Linked DNA regions of Drosophila melanogaster. The gene in region 2 interacts genetically with the main gene of each other region. Each region holds a gene or a part of one and is shown on either strand. Other genes may lie near its edges. The genes, in order: ZnT41F and Zip71B.

The links.
Region 1: of Zip71B (region 2) and ZnT41F, changing one enhances a phenotype caused by changing the other (phenotypic enhancement), as found in Drosophila melanogaster (one study listed by BioGRID).

What each region holds. Positions count from the first base shown.
Region 1 is NT_033778.4:5,777,755-5,785,956, forward strand, and holds the start of ZnT41F (zinc transporter 41F), read right to left. Parts: upstream 5,105-8,202; 5' UTR 5,023-5,104; exon of another isoform or gene 4,545-5,022; intron 960-4,544; 5' UTR 741-959; coding exon 447-740; intron 373-446; coding exon 235-372; intron 121-234; coding exon 1-120.
Region 2 is NT_037436.4:14,988,643-14,999,837, forward strand, and holds Zip71B (Zinc/iron regulated transporter-related protein 71B), read left to right. Parts: upstream 1-3,646; 5' UTR 3,647-3,829; coding exon 3,830-3,973; intron 3,974-5,940; coding exon 5,941-6,223; intron 6,224-7,503; coding exon 7,504-7,800; intron 7,801-7,857; coding exon 7,858-8,852; 3' UTR 8,853-9,341; downstream 9,342-11,195. Other genes in the region: mnd (minidiscs), read left to right, coding at 1,207-1,425, 1,504-2,099, 2,188-2,574; mRpL39 (mitochondrial ribosomal protein L39), read right to left, coding at 9,417-9,476, 9,538-9,980, 10,154-10,254, 10,319-10,643, 10,895-10,967.

The DNA.
Region 1 (8,202 bases), on a different chromosome or scaffold from region 2:
ACCCCCTATCCATATGGCGACTAGACCGATGACGAAACTAATGCAATCAGATGCTAAATGGGCGGCATCCGTCATTATGGCCAGACTTCCGGCGACATAGCCGCCAAGAAATTCAATGATCTGCGGTCGCCGTCAAATTTGTGGGATGAGTTCAGGACATGAAATGTGTCATAATTAAATCAGCAATACGTTTTCACACCTACACAGGTAGGCGGGTATGGTGCTTCTTCTTACCATAAATACGCAACACAGAGCAACTGCGAGCATAATTTTATACTTGGCCTCCTGTGCAGATTTGCTCTTCGAGTTGGCTCTGAACCCTGGTTGATGATTGCAGCACTCACGCTGCATATCAAATTCCGTTTCCGAGCTCTGCAATGGGCCGCACAATTTGTTCGTAAATATTTGTGTGTGCATGCAAGTAGTCCTTTGGTTGTTTCATTTACCTGGTTTCTCGCACTGTCACCACAATCGCCCAACAGTGGCACTTCCCAGGTTTGCTCCTCTGGAACCCGGACGACATTTGACCCAATTGTCACCACCTCCCTATTAACACTATTGTTGTTAACGCTGTAATACCTATCTTGGTAATCTGACAGTCGATCATCTCTAGTATCTGGATCCTGTTGGATTCCCAAACTTTGATGATTATCATCAAAGTAACCCGGGAAACCCCCTTCAGAGTCGTCATCGTGAGCGTTGGGCAACAGTGTGTTGTCAAGCTTCTGATATTTTGGCATGTTATTTGGTGTCAAATGGTGAACTTATGCTATTAATATTTCAGTAGTGTCGGCATCTCCTTATGTCGACTTGTGAATTTGATGTTTGGTTAACGAGAAGTGAGCAATTAATGTAAACTGAGAAGTCCGGCATCTGTCATAGTAAATCAATCAGTTGTTGTGTAGGAAACTGATCACTTCTCTTTGGTTCAGACTGTTGAAAAGCTTACATTCGACATCCTTTTTTTATGAAAATATGTTAAATTTTATTAAATTTCACAATCTTATTTAAATGATGGTTCTGATATCTGATATATGACCCTACAATATTTCAAAAATGTGGGCGTGGAAGTTTTGGGTGGGTTTAGCGCGTTAGAGTGGACGTGGCAACAAACTTGCACTGCGTCTTTGTCTCTAGAATCTGTATGTTTAATCTCAACCTTCTAGCTATTATAGTTCCAAAGATCTCAATGTTCATACAGACGAACATATATTTCAAAAGTAAGTGCGTGACACTTTTGGTTGGTTTGTAGACGTTAAAAGGGCAAACATGTATGCATTTACTGCTATGATATATTCGCTAATGGGAGTACTAAAGTAGTGCCCTCAAAAATACCAAATGCCTTATTGTCCTCAAAGGATTCCCTAGTCCCAAGACCCTTACCCCGACAGTAAGAGTTAGGTGCAGAAAATTTGATCTTTATTGTATATATGGACATATTAGAAAGGTTATAGAATATAGATTAAAAATAATTGGAAGCCATCTATGGGCTAATATGATCTGTCACGAGCTGGACCTTCAAAGAGGATATACATCGACAAGCACATGATGCAATGCTAATCCCTCAAGCCCTCATAGGAATCGTGTGTGAAAATCGTGTGTTTACTTTGTCAGTAAGTTTTCTTAGTTATAACATTGTAAGTTACTGTTTAATTAACAAATAATGTTGTTCATTGTATTAAAAGTACATTTCAAACCATTATCACTACATTTACATTGAAGTCTATGGGACTAGTTAGGTAACAGAGAAAAGATACACCGTATACCTTTGAATAAGGATACAAATTAATGGTAGCTCTTTGATTGCTTAGCCAAGAAAAATTACTATTTGTCTTCAGGGTAAGAAACTCGAAGAAGATCTTTAAATAAAATTCATAAATATTGATTATTGTAGGTAAAGTAGAAATATGAAAGCCAGACGAAATCGAAAACATTATGGCAACTAAGAGCAAGTCGGTCAAAACTCCCGAGGCCAACAATGGTATCTCTTTTGGAAATTAGTTATAAACATTTTAATATTGATAACGTAAATAAAAAAAATGATAACGGGTATCTGATAGTCGGGGAACTCGACTATAGCATTCTCTCTTGTTTTCCTTATGTCTAGGGAAATGTGTAACAAGGGCAGCATTTAAAAAATAATTTTCAGGGAGAGGAATTCATGATCACTTCCAGCATCCTATTTATGTAAGCCCCTTTATGTAAACTTCAAGCTAAGCGTGCAAGAAATTACATAGAAGATTATATGGTCCCATATGTTAAACCCTGCTTAAACGTGGATTGCCTAAACGTGGATTTTACAAAAATTTTAAATAATACAGTGGTAGTTTATTGCAGATTAGAAACGTTTTCATTTTAAGTTAACTCTTAAGGAACTCTTATAAGGTAAATTGATTATTCTATACAATGTACGTATAATGATAGCTAAACAAAATGTTGTTTATTATACCCGTTACTAGTAATGTAAAAGGGTATACTAGATACGTGGAAAAATATGGAACAGGCAGAAGGAAGCGTTTCCAACCACATAAAGTATATATATTCTTGAATAGGATCTGGCCATGGCCGTCTATCCGTATGAACGTCATACTATGAACGTCTTGATTTCAGAAACTATAAAAGCTAGACGGCTGAAATCAAGCATACAGACGCAAGTTTGTCGATTTTTCTTCGTTTTATTGTTTATCTTGTCAATTTTTAATTTTTTTCATTTCATTCTCATTTTATTTTATTCATTTATGAATAATTTCGCATTCGCAATCCCACTAGCTGAGTAAAGGGTATCGGATGGTCGGGGAACTCGAATACAGCATTCTCTCTTGTTAGAATTTAAGGACTAACCAATTAAATTTATTACACTCCACAACTTAAGTAATGTAGATATGCATTTATCAACAACGGATCGCACGTTGGTGGAACTCTACTGGCAATTTAAACCTTTTTCATTTGATTCATGTATGCTTATCAGCAAAAGTAGTCCTACTAGCTTGTGTGCCGTTGGGTTATCAGCGTTGGGTTTTCTCGGCAGGTTTTGACCGAAAGCATATTGTTGCCAATCAAATCGCCAGAAGAGCTTGTTATTATCTTTGATAGACAATAAGATACCCTTTTCCTGTCTAGTTGGAGGGCAAGAGATGAATATCGAGAGATATCGGGAACTATAAAAGCTACAGGGTAATCAAATCGCTATGTATGTAAGTTTGATTCAAAACCTTACCATTATCGCTTAAGCTGACACGATCACATTTTGTATTTTCATTTTGTATATTCTACCATTTGTCTTCCCAAAAAATGTAAAGCCAACAAACGGCTAAGGCAAAGAATCTAAAATTGTTAACAATCCAAACATTTTGCGACTGTTATTATGGTTTCGAATATCAAATTAAAACAGTGTCGAAATACTGGTATTGTAAAACTAGTACTATAGTAAATAGTAGTAATAATAGTAATAATAGTAATAATAATAATAGTAACTAGTAGATAGTAAAAACTATCTCTCTGAAAACTGTATCCCTAATCTCAACTCTTTAACTTCTATAGTTCCTAAGATCTCGACGTTCATACGGACGGACGGACAGACGGGCAGGGTCAGATCGACTCGGCTATTGATCCATATCAAGAATATATATACTTTTTCAAAGAATCTAGTATACCCTTTTACTCTACTTGTAGGCCACGGAAAAACCCTTGCTTACGCTTCGCAAAAAAAAAAACGAGTTTGCAATGGGCTCGGGAAAGGATTCAGTAGGAAAATTGACTACAATATAAGCAAGTGGAGGTTTTAGATTGGCTAGATAGTCCAGATCTAGGCCCCATAAACAATATTTGGTGGCTAATGAAAAGAAAGCTTCGAATGAACCACAGAGGAACATTTGTGACCTCAAAGAGATGTGGGTATCGATTTCTCGAGAACATGGCCAAAATTTTTTTAAATCAATGCCAAAACGTATTTAATGTGTAATACAGCCCAGGACGCGACGTTACACAATTCTTATGTTAATTAGTCTGTTATACTTTGCAGCGTTCGAATTAATAGTGGCCTTTTTTTCTTATCTCTGTTGTTGTTGTTGAAAATATAACATTTTTTATCAACATGAAGAGAATAAAATTCTCTTTCAGACTAAATACTTTTGCATACGTTATCTGTAGTAGTAATGAGTATACATATCGTGTGTTGAACATTGCACACCGCAAAAAACACATGCTGTTCGAAACACAATACAAAACAATAATAGTAGTTGGGGCTCGTATTTCATTTTCTTGGCTAGGTGTTCTAGAGCACCTTTTTTTTTGGCATATTTAACCCATTATATTATATACATATATACATGTATATATAACATAATATAATTTCTAATAGCATGCATACGTGTATTAAAATTGATGTGGTTTGTAATCTATTTGATTTGTAAATATGTAGCTATGGGACGTAGCGTTTTGCGAGAAAACTACCAATAAGAATTAGATCCTCCACCAACCAGAGAGTTTAACCGCAAGTCAAAGCAAAGTAAAGAAAACAATGCCGGCGCTGAGCGTGCACTGACCTTATCAGCAGGTTTGACTTTGGCAATGAGTAATAATTTCGACCGCGGCTCTCTTTCTCTCATATGTTTCTACTCAGCTGCTGATGCTGCACATAACTATGCACATACATATGAATGTACATATGTACGTTCCGTTGGAAAGAGAGATCACAACGGAGCGCCCATTCGTTGTATTCACTCTCACGTATCACACTGAACCATTGGCGTTAGTCTCATTTAGGCTTAATTGCGTAAAATTCTGATATTAAAAACATATTCATTTTAAACTCTTCAGAACATTAAAATTTAAATCATTATTATGACTTGTTCGTATCCAATCGTATTTTGTAAATCTTCCAGTTCCCAGCCATATGCGCATTGCATGGACTATGTAAACAAAATATGTGAATGTACGAAATACTCAGTTGAGAGACTACAATAATGTTCCGCTGTCGTGCACTATCAGCTGGTGTTCTCTTTTTATCGTACACGGCCCTACTCGCTGTAATTGTTTTAGATTTCCGATCGTCAGCGACTGCTTACTTCCCGGCACACCCGGCGACGCGTGAAGTTCAACTAACAGCGGTGACGGCGTCGCCTTCTCAGTTGGTTTCTGGGTAGAGCGAGACAGTGATAGTGGGGGCATTTTTCTCTTGAGTGGCGACGCTTGAGTGGTTCTCAAAGGACTTGGGAATTGCGTCTGTTGTTCGCTTATCAAAATAAGAGAGAAGAGTCTAGTTCCTCTACAATCAGAAATATCATATACCCATCACTCAGCTAAGTGGAGTCAGAAAAGAATGTGCCATAAGTAGGATCGTCGAGATCTCTGGCACTATAAATGATAGAAGGTTGACCCATGTATCCATTTTCCAAAAAAATTTTTGATACGCCCACTCTAACGTCCTGAAGCTGCCGAACCGGTCAAATTTTAAGTTTTTTCTCATTTTATTCCCCAACATCTATCGATATCCCAATAAAAAAAATAAATCGTGCAATTTCGGGTTCGCATTCACACTAGCTGAGATAGTCGGGGAACTCGACTATAGCATTCTCTTTTCGTTTATATTCTATTTCTTAATTTAAAAAAAAAAATCATTAGGCATCTGAAAGCCAAAAGCAAAAAGGAAGTTCTTAACGTCCTTAACGTCCGATCCGAAGACGCTAGACACTGATTATGTATATGTAAGGTACATATCAGATCATTTCAATTGGTTTCTTTAGTGTAACCGGAAAATTAAGTCGACGTTATCTACACTTTTGTGCTCGCGAACGTGATTATAAACACAACTCGAAGACTAAAAGGTAATCTTTAAAAATAAGGTTCAAGATAACGTTTCTGGCGCTATAAAAAATACATTTACACTTTATGACGAGTTTCGATATCGGGGAACTATAAATCGACACAGTTGAGACTAGACTTATCAGCGGTTCGATCCTTATCAAGTTCATCCACAGTAAAGCAGTATTATCAAATACTGTTAAAATTAAAATATGTACATAGTAATATGAAAGGCGTTTATCCTTAAAAACAAGAAAGTGGAAGTAAGATATAAATTTTTCAAACGGATTTTCTGGATCATATATTCATATTCATATTCGACTCTACAATTTAGTTGATATCAATGGCGCTTAAACACCGCTCAATTCATCACTTTTTCAATGTGTTTTAATCACTATATCCGTACTTATTTTTGAAGAGAGAAATTTCCATCGTCTTGTTGTCAGGTTCTTTTCAGTTTACGATTAAACTTAAAGTAAAATATATTATTATACCTTTAAAGATTTCTTTCTGCTCATGAAATTATTATATTACCTATAATAAAAATCGCAGGAAATCCGATAATCCATTTCGTTTTCTTACTTTCTTTTTTCTCATCCCCGCCCCATCCTTTTTATCAAGATGCAAAAGCACTTAAGCAAAATCTGCTTCCCGGAATGTGGTATTTCTTATTACAACGGGACCAATTAAAGGAGATTGTTATAAAACAGTTGTATGCAGTGGTGCTTGTCATAAAGAACGGATGAATAATCGAATTTTCTTTGGTTGTGTTTTGATTTGACAAAGAATGTATGTGTATGAATGTATGTATATGTATTAAGCAAATGCACTTTCGACGATCATTTAGCTAAGTTATTTCAAACAGAATAGCTATGCTTAGAGAAAACATTGGTGTGCAAATTGGAAGAGGAATTAGAGTTGTTAATTAGGGTTAATTAAAGTTAATAGGTGGAGTTTGTAGCGACCCCTGAAGCTATTATGTTAGAACACCCTGAAAGCTTGAGCCAAGCTTTGGGCGTGTAATCAAGGGTCATATTAAATGCAGTATTAGTCATAGGAAATATACTGGACGAGATGCAAATCTTTATCAGCTGAACTAGGAAAGTTTTGGATAGCTTGGTTATCACAAATGGAGTGATTTCCAGATGATCATGATTTCTTCTGATGGCCTAGACCCAGGCTTGAGTTTCCGTTCTATTTCTTTTCTAATCGAACCGTCGTAAAGTCAATTCGTGAACATTTTTTTCATTCAACTGTTTTTTAGAAAATTATAGCCTGCGCGCGTTAATGATATAATAATCTAGCGAGCTTTCCTCGCCGCAAAACGGTATGCGGTCTACATTTTTTTTGTGTGTTTTTTCCCAGGCGGAAACTTAATCTGGAAAATCTTTTGCTTGGAGCAACAACAACGCCACGCAAAAAAAGTGAAAAGTGATCAGTCAGTGATCAGCCGGCTCGTGGAGCACCCTTTCGTGCTGTCCCGGGGAGCACCCCGTTGAGCTCCCGTGGAGCACCTCTTTCCATCGATTAACAGACATAAACAAAACCTACGATTTTTATTTAACTTTAACACATGCTGGAAAGATACATAACATGTATATTAATAAAAAAAAGTTACGCACGTGGACGAGATATAAAGGAGATATGAATACACTAGGAGAATTCATCTGTTGAAGTAAACATCTAAAAATAAATTTAAAAAATATAAAGATGCTTGCTAAATTCTGTCATACCTAATCCTATACCTGCGTGAAAGATACCAAACTGCGAATCTACAGTGAAATTTTCCGAATAATTATATCCGCAACTATTTGTATTATTTGTAATAATTTATATAAATATGTACCCCAGGTGGAAACTTATTTTACATTACTTCTGTATTTTTAATTTTTTTTAATTAAATTTCCGTTAGGATTAAATATTTTTTTATATTATTTAACTTAACCTAATTTAATTATTTTCCCTAAGATGAATGTAATTTTAGAATTTTCGGGATAAATTTTGCAAAGATAAGTTTATTTAAATTCGTTTTGGTTCGGAAAATTGTGGAAAGTATGTATGTGTTCGTATATATTCGTAGTGTTTGTGGAAAATTCCACGATCTTATTTCAGCTCATCTGCGCCGGAAGATCGATCTTTTGCCGAGGATTAAAATTGAGTGTATTTTGTCTGTATTAACATTTACATATATTGGAAATAATGCACAAAAGCAATAAAGAAAAAAGAATTTCTAATTATACACCGGAATAAATCTTGGAAGCTAAATAAGCAAAAGTAAAAAATTTTTTGATTTATTTTTGTGAAAATATTTTGAACAAAATCTACTTAGAATAACGCGACTAATGAATACTGATTAAAGAAACTGAAATAATAAAAAAACAAGAGATAATGCTATATTCA
Region 2 (11,195 bases):
TTAAGCAACATGTGGTACTTAAAGTGCTACAAATAAACAGCACACAGTTTTTGTACTGTAGAAAGAAACAGGAAAATTCAGCTTATTTCCAATTAAAATCGGTCCAGATCCAAGACCCAGAAGCGGAAAATCTCTATGACCTTTGGTTCGAACTGACAATCTTTTGAGATTAACTACTCCAACCAATTACCATGGAGACACATTTAAGGCATGGAATTAGCTCGGTCCCATTAAAAATGCCTCTTCAAGTGGCACACACAAAAATTAAAATCAGTTCCAGCTCCCCAGCAAAATGATGAATTAGAATTGATAGTGGGACCGACGAAACATTCAATTATCAACTAATTAGCACTTGAGCCTCTTCAGAAAAGTACAGGATGCTTCAAAACTTGGAATAAGTATATTCATATTATCGGAAATACAGCGAGTGTTCTTTGTTTCCTGGGGTAAATTCAAATGTTCAACCCTCTCTATTGAAATTCACATACATATATAACCGAAGGTATAAATTTACCTTTTCAAGATCTGAAAACAAATAGAAACTTGAATGGAACTCTCTTAATATCTTTGATCCACAACAAAACTTAAGAGAATCAAAGAAAAAAGTCTTATCGCTTTTTCTCTCCTTTTACGTCATCTTTGCTTATGGCTTTGTAATCATTATTAAAACACGTTTTTTTTTAACAATCAGCCAGGCAGACACTCATTACCATACATTTTCGGCAGACACAAATTAGCATAATTTTTAAAGTTTGCTTTTCGAAATATCAATGGAAGTTCAATCTGATCTGATCAGAATGTTTGAACATATTTTTGAAAATCAAATATTTATGCTACCTTTTTCTAACTTTTCATGTCAAACTATTTAAGTACTAAATAAAGTTCCATAAATCTTAATGAAGTGAATGGACAGAGCAAATAAAATAAAATTATCACCAATTACTAGGATGGTCGTAAAAAATGGAATAGTTAGTACACGCTTTTTAAGCGTTTCCAAAATTTCTCCAATTGCTGGAACAACCCTCCTTAGATAGGCAAATGCATACCTCAAAGCATTTTCAGAACTGTGTCATGCTTATCAGATTGTCAACGTTTGCTCTCTATTAGCCTAATCACTTTTTAAACATTATTCTCTTGGGATGTTCCCCGTGAACTACGCCGTAATGAGCAAATTTTCTTCTATAACTAATATTTTAACTTTTCCAGGCACGATGATACCCAAATCAGGCGGAGATTATGCCTATATAGGCACTGCATTTGGTCCTCTGCCTGCGTTCCTTTATCTGTGGGTGGCCCTGCTGATCCTGGTGCCCACGGGCAATGCGATTACGGCTCTGACTTTTGCCATATATCTGCTGAAACCTTTTTGGCCTTCCTGCGACGCGCCCATTGAAGCTGTTCAGCTGCTGGCGGCTGCCATGATATGTAAGATTCGCTGATAGCTAATCGGTGGTGAGACTAGGCATAGACTATATTGACTAATTGCTTGATCTTCCACCCTAGGTGTGCTGACGCTTATCAATTGCTATAATGTTAAGTGGGTTACGCGTGTGACGGACATCTTTACGGGCACCAAGGTGGTTGCCCTCCTGGTGATCGTTGGCGCCGGAGTCTGGTGGTTGTTCGATGGAAACACAGAGCACTGGGATAATCCCTTCTCGGGAGGCCTTCAAGATCCTGGATATATAGCCCTGGCCTTCTATAGCGGCCTCTTCTCGTACTCCGGCTGGAACTATTTGAACTTTGTAACAGAGGAGCTCAAGGATCCGTACCGAAACCTGCCCAAGGCCATTTGCATCTCAATGCCGGTGGTCACGGTCATCTATATGATCACGAATATTGCATACTTTTCGGTTCTCTCGCCAGACGAGATCCTTTCGTCAGATGCAGTGGCAGTCACGTTTGGCGACAAGATGCTGGGGTATATGTCCTGGATTATGCCCTTCGCTGTGGCCTGCTCCACTTTTGGTTCGCTGAATGGAGCGATCTTCGCGTCCTCGCGACTTTTCTTCGTCGGTGCAAGGAATGGTCACCTGCCGGCCGCCATTTCGCTGATTAACGTTAATTGCCTGACACCTGTGCCCTCGCTGATATTCCTGGTAAGTTAGAGGCTTAACCTAAGTAAAGAATCTATAAATATTTGTTTTTATCAAATTATCATGTTCTTTTCTTTTTTTAATTTCCCAGGGCGTGCTCACCTTGCTGCTGCTGTTCATCGAGGACGTCTACGTACTAATCAACTACGTCAGCTACGTGGAGGCGTTGTTCACGCTGATCTCGGTATCCGGACTGCTGTGGATGCGCTACAAGCAACCCAAGACGGAGCGACCCATCAAGGTCAACTTGGCGCTGCCCATCATCTATCTGATCGTCTGCCTGTTCCTGGTCATCTTCTCTTGCACGCAGACGCCATATGTGGTAGGAATCGGGACGATCATTATACTGTCTGGAATTCCGGTCTACTACCTGACCATCCACAAACCGGTCAAATGGCTGGCGGACACTTCGCAGGCGATCAACCTGTGGTGCTCCAAATTCTTCATCTGTATGCCCAACCAGGAGAAGTTCGACTAGGACTGCAGGACTCTACGACTTTGGGAAGAGAGGGCCTTTTGTGGATGTATCGATCAACGCAACTATAGAAGGGAATATCTTGTAGTTAGGATAAGTCTCAATTTACCCCTAAGATAGGTTAGCAACGCGAAATTTTGAAAACCTACGCACAACATTACAAAAGTGTTATTGTAAATAACTCAAATGCATTCTGGTAGGGAAGTCCCTGCTTCAATTAATATTATTTGTTAGTCGTACTTTTAATGTATATTTCAAACCCAAAAAAAATGAGTTCCTCGTCGAAAGCAGAAGTACGCCTGTTATACAAAATGCGAACCAATTTTTACATATTATACAAGTAATTAGGAGCTTATTCAGTAAGTAATAATTATTATTGATGCAACTTTTTGCGAAATGTAAAAAATCGAATTTGTTTTGTATAAGAAAGTTAATAATAAACACATTAAACTTTAATCTTATTACTTTTTGTGAAGTGGGCGGAAATTGGCATTTTAAAGGTAAAAAAGTAACTTATATCATTTCGCATGGTATCTATTTAAAGTATCATAATTATCTACCACAATATTTATTAATTTTTTTAAATATTTTCATTTTCTAGTTATTTTTCCTACTCCAGCGAGTTCTAAAACTCACTACTTGATGAAAGCGCCTTTACAACGCCTTTAGGTATGCAATCTTTTTCTTCATAGTTACAATCTACCGGATAGTTTTTAGTATAAAGTATTGTTGCTTAATAATAACATTTAGCCAGATTCTTAAGATTATGAAAGGAAAGTGTAAAACTTTAGTATTTTCAATTTAAAGGCTGAGTACACTATTTAATGTGAGTTTAGCCGATGAACAGGTTAATCGACTTTATTAATTTTTGGCGCTCAAATTTGATGGTCCGGCGAAAGCTTTTCCAAAGCTCAATCCAAATGACAGTTAAGTTTGTAGCGAGTGCGCAGAGCGATGAGTTGCCCGCCCAGTGGGCGAAGGAGAGAGGGAGAAAGGAGAACGCGCCGACGCTCGTCGAACCGAAAGTCGTATAAAACGTTGCGTGGGCGAAACTGTCATTTCAAAAGACCGTTGAACGGGATCGGTAGTTGGCTGCAGTGTTACGGATCGCACGCGTCTGTAAAAACTCGAAAAAATCCCGGTGAAGCCCCCAGTGAAATGACGAGTGACCAGTAGATAACCGGGTTCAATAAAACGAATAGAATAAAACGAAAAGAGAAATACTATCTACCACCACCTGAGTGTTCAGTCCATTACGATGGCCCAAAAGCAGGTGCTAGTCTTAAACCTATTTTGCCTGGGCTCACTATTTTTCAAAACAGTGCCAGCTTCCACGGAATACAACAAATACGTGGCGCAGATATTTCAAAAATACGGCAACGGCGGGACAATCAACTTTGAGGTAATAACCAATAAACCATCGAACTAGCCTTGTAAACACACACAAGAGCGTAATTTGAGCACAGGTAAACACAGGTAAACAAAGTCGGACACGGGACAAAGCTTTTGCGGTTAGCGTTATGGCAAAAAATTAGTGAGTTTGTGTCTTCTTTTTTTTCTCTCGTTTTTGTCATTTTTGGGCCAGCAACAAAAACAATGTGTGGGAGGGGGGGGGGTGTTCTCATATGATTACGAGTTAATCAAATATTTGGGCATTGTGAAAGTGAAACAATTGTGTTCTGGCCAACTCGGCTTGATCGGGCAACCAAAACACTCTCAACAGCGATTATCGCGTCACTTTTAAAAGGTTGTAATCTTTATATGCGCGCAGCAATTTTATAACACAGTGGGCAGACAGCAGGCACTTCGTATGATACAAAACGTAGACTTTATTGCTGGCATTATCATAAATTTAATCAAAATCCAGACTAACGAGCAGCACAGGCACAGTGAGATGTACAGTACGAGACTTGAGCATCAACACGACGAACAACACCCACCCCCCGCCCAAGACATCCTTCTATATCCACGTCGGAGATTACGAGATGATAAGCCCGATAAGACTGCTTGCTCCTCCTCCTAATGGGCGCACACTGGATGCCCGATAAACCAAAGATACAAAAGCAACCGCAACTTTCGCAACGCGATCGTTATGCTTATGGACTCCAAAGCTATAGTCCGTCCGATTCCGAACAATCGGAGCCAATTGACATTACTCATGCGTATGGGCTACGCAATACGGTGTGTCCATTTGAATGGCAAGCCGCTACTAAAAATGTTTTTACTTTTTACGCACTCGGCATACTAACATTAAGGGTTGGATGCCCGATGCCCCATGTCTCATGTCCCATGCCCACCCAACCGTCTCGTATTCTATCATCATTCTAATATTCCAAATTTGATTACATATAGCACACTTGGCACACAAACAAATCTCAGCTGAATGAAAGTAAAATTCGCCATTTGGTGGCTTCATGAGCTACATAATAAATAGTTTTTTTTTTTTGTGTGTGCCAGCGCGTGTGTGTCTAATGTTTGTTCATATGCAAATTCCGCCATCCTGATCTTGGGAATCTGGGCAATTCTTTGGAGCCACTCATCACACGCCGGACACACGCCCCGATCCCCGGCGACAGGTCGCTGTCGAGGCAATTAGATGGGGCTCCACCGCCGCCCCGGGGAATCTCCACCCACTTTAGCGACAGCAAATATGCGACAGAATGGAGGAATAACAATAAACAAATGAATTCAGATGTAAATATAATTGCCTGGCACGTTGACAAGTAAATCAAGTAATTATCGGTGATAGATCGCAGCCAGAGTATATACTTTGACAAATTAGTTAAATAAATAGCAAATGCGATCGATTTGTCGGCGTGAAATTTCGTGGATAGCTACTGTGAAAAATGTGCAGCAGGTTAAGGTTTGTTTTTAAAAACGATTTCAGGACGCTCACCGAAAACAAAACAGCTGGCAGTTGTTTTGTTGCGTTTACTCCAGCTACTTCGAGATTAATTGTTGTTTTTAAATGGGTTTTAAAACTTCAAGGTTGCACTTACTGTTTAAATAGTTTAGGGAAATCACAACTATCTAAAACTATTGAATTATCAAACTTTCTGAGAATTTGTGCATAGATATTTGTAAGTCTATTTATCATTGCCAATGTTATTTTAATACCTATTATCAAATACTTAATTATCGTTAAAAGAAAATAGTTTGTCTACAATTATTGAAGCATAATGCTATCTGTCCTTATCATTAGATAGTTTACTTATATTTTGCGCCTTGCAATAACGTGTGCCTTAATCACACTTGTTTTACTTTGGTTTTGTATCTTGGAAAACTTCCAGATAACGTCTAAGTGCTCTCTAAATATGCTGTAATGCTGCTTTAAATGCCTATTAAATGAGGAACTAAAATATTTTCCAGGGTCTTGAGCATTTGATGTTCAGCCTGAACTTGGGTCAAATCCAATTCGATCCCTCGCACACGATCGATCAGCATCGACCTCAGGGATACTCGAACGAGATGCCGCATGCCACAAATGTAACGTATTACTTTGAGCCGACACGAGTCAATGCCACCGATGAGGAAGCTTTGGAGCTGCAAATCTCTCCTCGTGGCAATCACTCAAATTCACAGTCGGAGGCCGAGGTTCCGGAGTTCCTAGAAATTCATGACCCCAAGCACCGACATCCGAGGGAGAGTTCTGGTGAGTGGCGTCGTTTAATATTTAATGAAGATGTGCACCAGTCTTATCTTAATGGTCGGGGATTTCGCACTTTATTTCCAACCGTATTACTGTATGTATTTGCCGACCATCAGCTATGACTGATAATACCTAAGCTACGCCAGGATAGACAACATGGTCATAAATCTTAGGATAATTTGTTTTAACACTTATTCCGGTTCTCCAGAATCCACCAGGTCTGAGAAATTCCAAAAAATACGCGGATTGAAGCTCACTTGACTGGCAGTTAATAACAAGCATATATACATGATAAAACACCAGCCACCTGTGGCACAATACAAAATTGAGCCCGGCAGAAGTATAGTATATATATATAGTATAAATAGATGAAGCCCTCGACTTGACTCGACTCTTTCCATCAATTGGCCGATTTCCAAGTGCAAGGCGACCGGCGACTGCGGTCTATCATCAATTCAATTATGCCATCCCATCCTCCATCCCATCTCATTTGGTTGATAGGAAGTTCCGTCTGTGATCGTGGCCTTGTCGCATAAATTATCATTACCATGTATGTGCGTATATATACTTAGTATCAGATGCGTTTTTCTTTCTCCTTTTGGGCCGTAAATGTAGCCGTAAATCAACAGGTAGGAAAGATCATTGTCAGCAGGCGACGAAAACAGGGCGATAGCACGATAAACGGACGCATTATGGATGCGGAAATCCAAAAGAAAACAACAATTGAACGGATTCAGATACAGATACAGATACAAAACGAGAAACAAACAGGCCTCAATCGCTTCGCTTGTTATTTATTTTTGTTGGCTAAGCCTTACAGTTTTAATTGAAGTGCACACAATCATTACAACGTTGTCCCATATAAAGTTAACACTAAACAGCCGACTGGATTAATGGCAAGTTTGCACATGCGAATTGGATAACAATCGACTGCTGAGAGAGGGCAACGTGTCGGAGTCGAAGAAATACGTTTGCTATTTCCATAGAATGAGTGTAAACATGGGAAAAAGAAAATTCCCCATACCTAGCATTATAAACAAAGTGCTTAAAAGGTTTAAATTAGAACAAACAGTTGCTGCTCATAATGTGAACCCAGCCAGCGCTATATAGTAATGCATAACGTATAGATTAAATTGCAAACTGCAGAAATCACAAGTAATTCACATGCAACAAGAATTACTCAATGCAGTCCCAAGGTGCTTATTCCTTAGACTTTTACCTTAAACAGGAAATATTTTCTCTGGTTCTTAAAATTACATTACTTTTACACTTTTTATTTTCAGAACCTGTTGCCGCTTGCTTATCACCGAAGTCTTTACTTTCCCTCATCGTGAACCACAACGATCTCCACAAAAACATTGCCTACCGCAAGCTGCTCATTAAGAATGACGTTAGCTCAACTGATGGCGTCCACAATTCTGAAGAGGAATACAACGAATTCATCAACTCGGTGCGGATCACTCCGCGAGCTTTTATGAAACTCTGTCCAGCTCTATTAGCCCAGATCGATAATGGAGTTTGCAAGCAACCAGCTGTACGATCAGTAAACCTTAACGATAAGAACCAGAAGATATGGTACGGTAGGTATCTATAATTAACACTTTGTTATACAAGATAACTTACCTATATCGATTTAGCTTGGATCTATGCCAGCATCACTATGCTTATACTGTCCGCTTGCGGATTGCTGGGCATTCTTCTGGTTCCTTTGATGAAGTCGGCTGCCTATCAGGAAATTCTCAAGTTCCTAGTTTCCATCGCTGTGGGCACTTTAGCTGGCGATGCCCTGATGCACTTGCTCCCCCATGCCCTTTTCAAGGAGGAAAAGCACGAGGAGGAAGTCACTGGTATCAATCCCTTGGAATCTGATCACAAACATAGCAATGAGGCGGCTCTGCTATGTGGTTGTACTTTCCTGGCTGCTCTATTCATGTATATGCTGGAGAACCTGATTCCGCTGCTAAAGGGCGGTAAGCCGGGTCATGGACATAGCCACGGACATGGTCACAGCCACGGCCGCAGTCATGGACATATGGAGAAGCCAGCTGCAAAGGATGCTATTGATCTGCCACCTCCTCGAGAGCTCAATGTGATGTTGCAGGAGGCCAAGCTGGATGAGAAGACCCCCGATCGACCGCTCACCCCAGTAGCCTTCATGGTAATCATCGGAGATGGCTTGCACAATCTGACCGATGGTCTGGCCATAGGTGCAGCCTTCGCAAGTGATCCGGTCACTGGATTTGCTACCGCCTTTGCCGTTCTCTGCCATGAGTTGCCACACGAACTGGGCGACTTTGCTCTGTTGCTGCAAACAGGTGTCTCCATGCGAAGAGCCGTCTATATGAACATTGTTAGCTCAGTTCTTAGCTTTGTGGGCATGTCGGTGGGTCTCTTTATTGCTGGAATTGGAGACGGCATGACCCAATGGATTTATGCAGCCACCGCTGGTTCCTTCCTGTATATTGCTTTTGCCGATCTGGTGCCCACAATGAGTGTGGCCCACAATCCGGAAAAGGCCAAAGATCCAAAGGGTATAATAATACAAATTTTTGGTATCCTTCTGGGTGGACTGATAATGTTGGCTATTGCCCTCAATGAACACGATTTAGAGGGCCTGTTCAAGAGCTTTTAAAGAATAGCTCTGAGTCTCAAACAGCTTTGTTAATTTTGTTTTCTTATTGTAGATAGTAGTTTAAGAATATGTTTCTGTGGAATCTCTGATTCTCTTGCTTCTTTAAGCATGCCTTACTTGTTAGAGATGAAATCGTTACCAAATGTTAGTCTGTGGTCAGCTTTATGTATGATTTAAACAGCACCTTCCTTAGTGTTATTGAAACTTTAATATTAAAATATAAATGTTTTTAAAGAGACAATTAAAATAAAAGAACTGTGAGCAAAAAAGAGAAACCCTAGCATTGGCAATTAAAAGAATATAGAATCATTAAATCGTAAAATAAGACCAAAGTGTTCTTTTATATAAATTCTGCCTTACGAATGCTAAATCTATAAATAATAAGAGCTATCCAGAATTTCATTCCATAAGATAATTAGCTTGTAAGTTAAAATGGTAAAAGCAGAATTTTGTTTGCTCATATCCTTTTAAAGACGGATTTTCTTTGTTATAACAAATTAGGACGCTCTTTAATGATTTACTTTTTTAACACTTACAGTATAGTTTTAAATATTAAAGAACGTTTTAAGATAATTGCAGTTGTTGTTGTTCCTCAAATGGTTCATTGGGCAGTCGTGCGGGGCTCTAAAATGTGTTTTAAATTTGTGACACAGCTCTTTATCGAAAAACGTCGAGATATACTCACAGGTTTCTTAGAACGCTCCTCCAATACACCAAATGCAACATGATTCAGTTGGAAGCCAGACGGCAGTGCAACGCCCTGAATGCGATAGAAAGCACCAGAGGGACCCTCCTCCGCAACTTTGTGGGCAGCCGAGATGACGCATTTCCCCAAAAAGCTGGTAGACGCCACCATTGGACCGCGTGAGATGTCGATATGATCACCCAGGCGATACAAGGTGACCCTTCCATTGGTCTGCTGCGAGATGCTGGGCAACTGTTCGCTCTTATACTTGGAATCCTTGAACATCTCCTGGGCCAGATCCTGTTGGACGTCCAAACGCTCGATGCGCAGATCCTGAGCAGCCAGTTTAACCATCTCTGCCGAAAGGGCGCGCATCTCTTCTTTTCCTGGCTCCCAGTTCTGGGTTTGGAGCACAATGTCGTGTACGAAGCTACCTGATTTGACTGTGAAATGTAATAGGAGTAATTTTATAATTTGTCTCGCTTATAGAATATTCCAGACAGTATTAGTTTTAAGATATATATCTATGAAATTTTCATCCAATTAAAAGGGGGAAAGACGAAACCTAGTAAAAAAAATATCCTAATCTTAAATCCTAAAAAGTGATTCTGCTTACTATTGGGTCCAGGAAAGCTGTGGAGCTGAAGATTGGCCTCCGGCTTGAAAGCGCGGTTCAAGGCGGCTCCCAACATAAAGCTGCAAGTGCGCCAGAATGCTCTAAAAGTAAACAACATAAGCAAGTTTAATATAAATGCCATATTATAAATAGTATAGCACTCACTTGTTGACCACATGTGGCTCGGAAACATGGAAGTTAAGCAGCTGCAGAGTACAGGATTCCTGCAAGGGTCTGTGCATATCCCAGGGAACACTGCCGTCGATCAAGGCCAGTGCCGATCGCTTACAGTGCCCCTCACTCAGATGCTGGGCGCAATTGAAGGGCGTTGAGATGTTGCCGTTCATCACCAGAGTGACATCCTCGGGAAGTCCCAGATACCGCACCTCGATCTTATCGATTCGACCCACTGCATCCCGTTGACGGCGCTGCTCCTGGTTGAACAGGTCATTCCGCTTGGCTAACGATGCAGAACTGCCACTAAAGTTGGCTGTAGGGATAATTAATAAGTTAAAAGACATATTTTATAGTACAGTTTCAACAAATTGAATTTAAATTATGGTTGACTATCTAAAATAATAACTGGGATCTATAGAAATTCTAGCGATTTTTCCGCCAAGACATCAACGAACTGCCATCACTAGCCGAAGAGCTCCGCGGAACGTGAATGACTGCCGGCATTATGTAAACCACTTCCTCCATCTTTGGTCAATAAAAGGACTCCTAATTAGTGTTACTTACCCTTAGTTCTGTATTGTTGAAGCTGCCGCAGGGCGCACCAGCTTGTTTTATGTAATTTGGTGGCCGCAGACATGGTAAATTACCAAAATACTCTTCAGGGATGCAGTTCACAAAAGTGATGGTACTATGCCAAGATGGTCAGGTGGAAACAGTATATCGATATTTTTCAAACATGACTATTCGCTTACAAAAGATAAGGGGCCTTCCTAAGCACTTATTGCATGTATACTGCGGGGAATATTTCCAAACATTAAAAAGTTTTAAAATTATACAATGCAACATTAAAATATTAAAATAATAC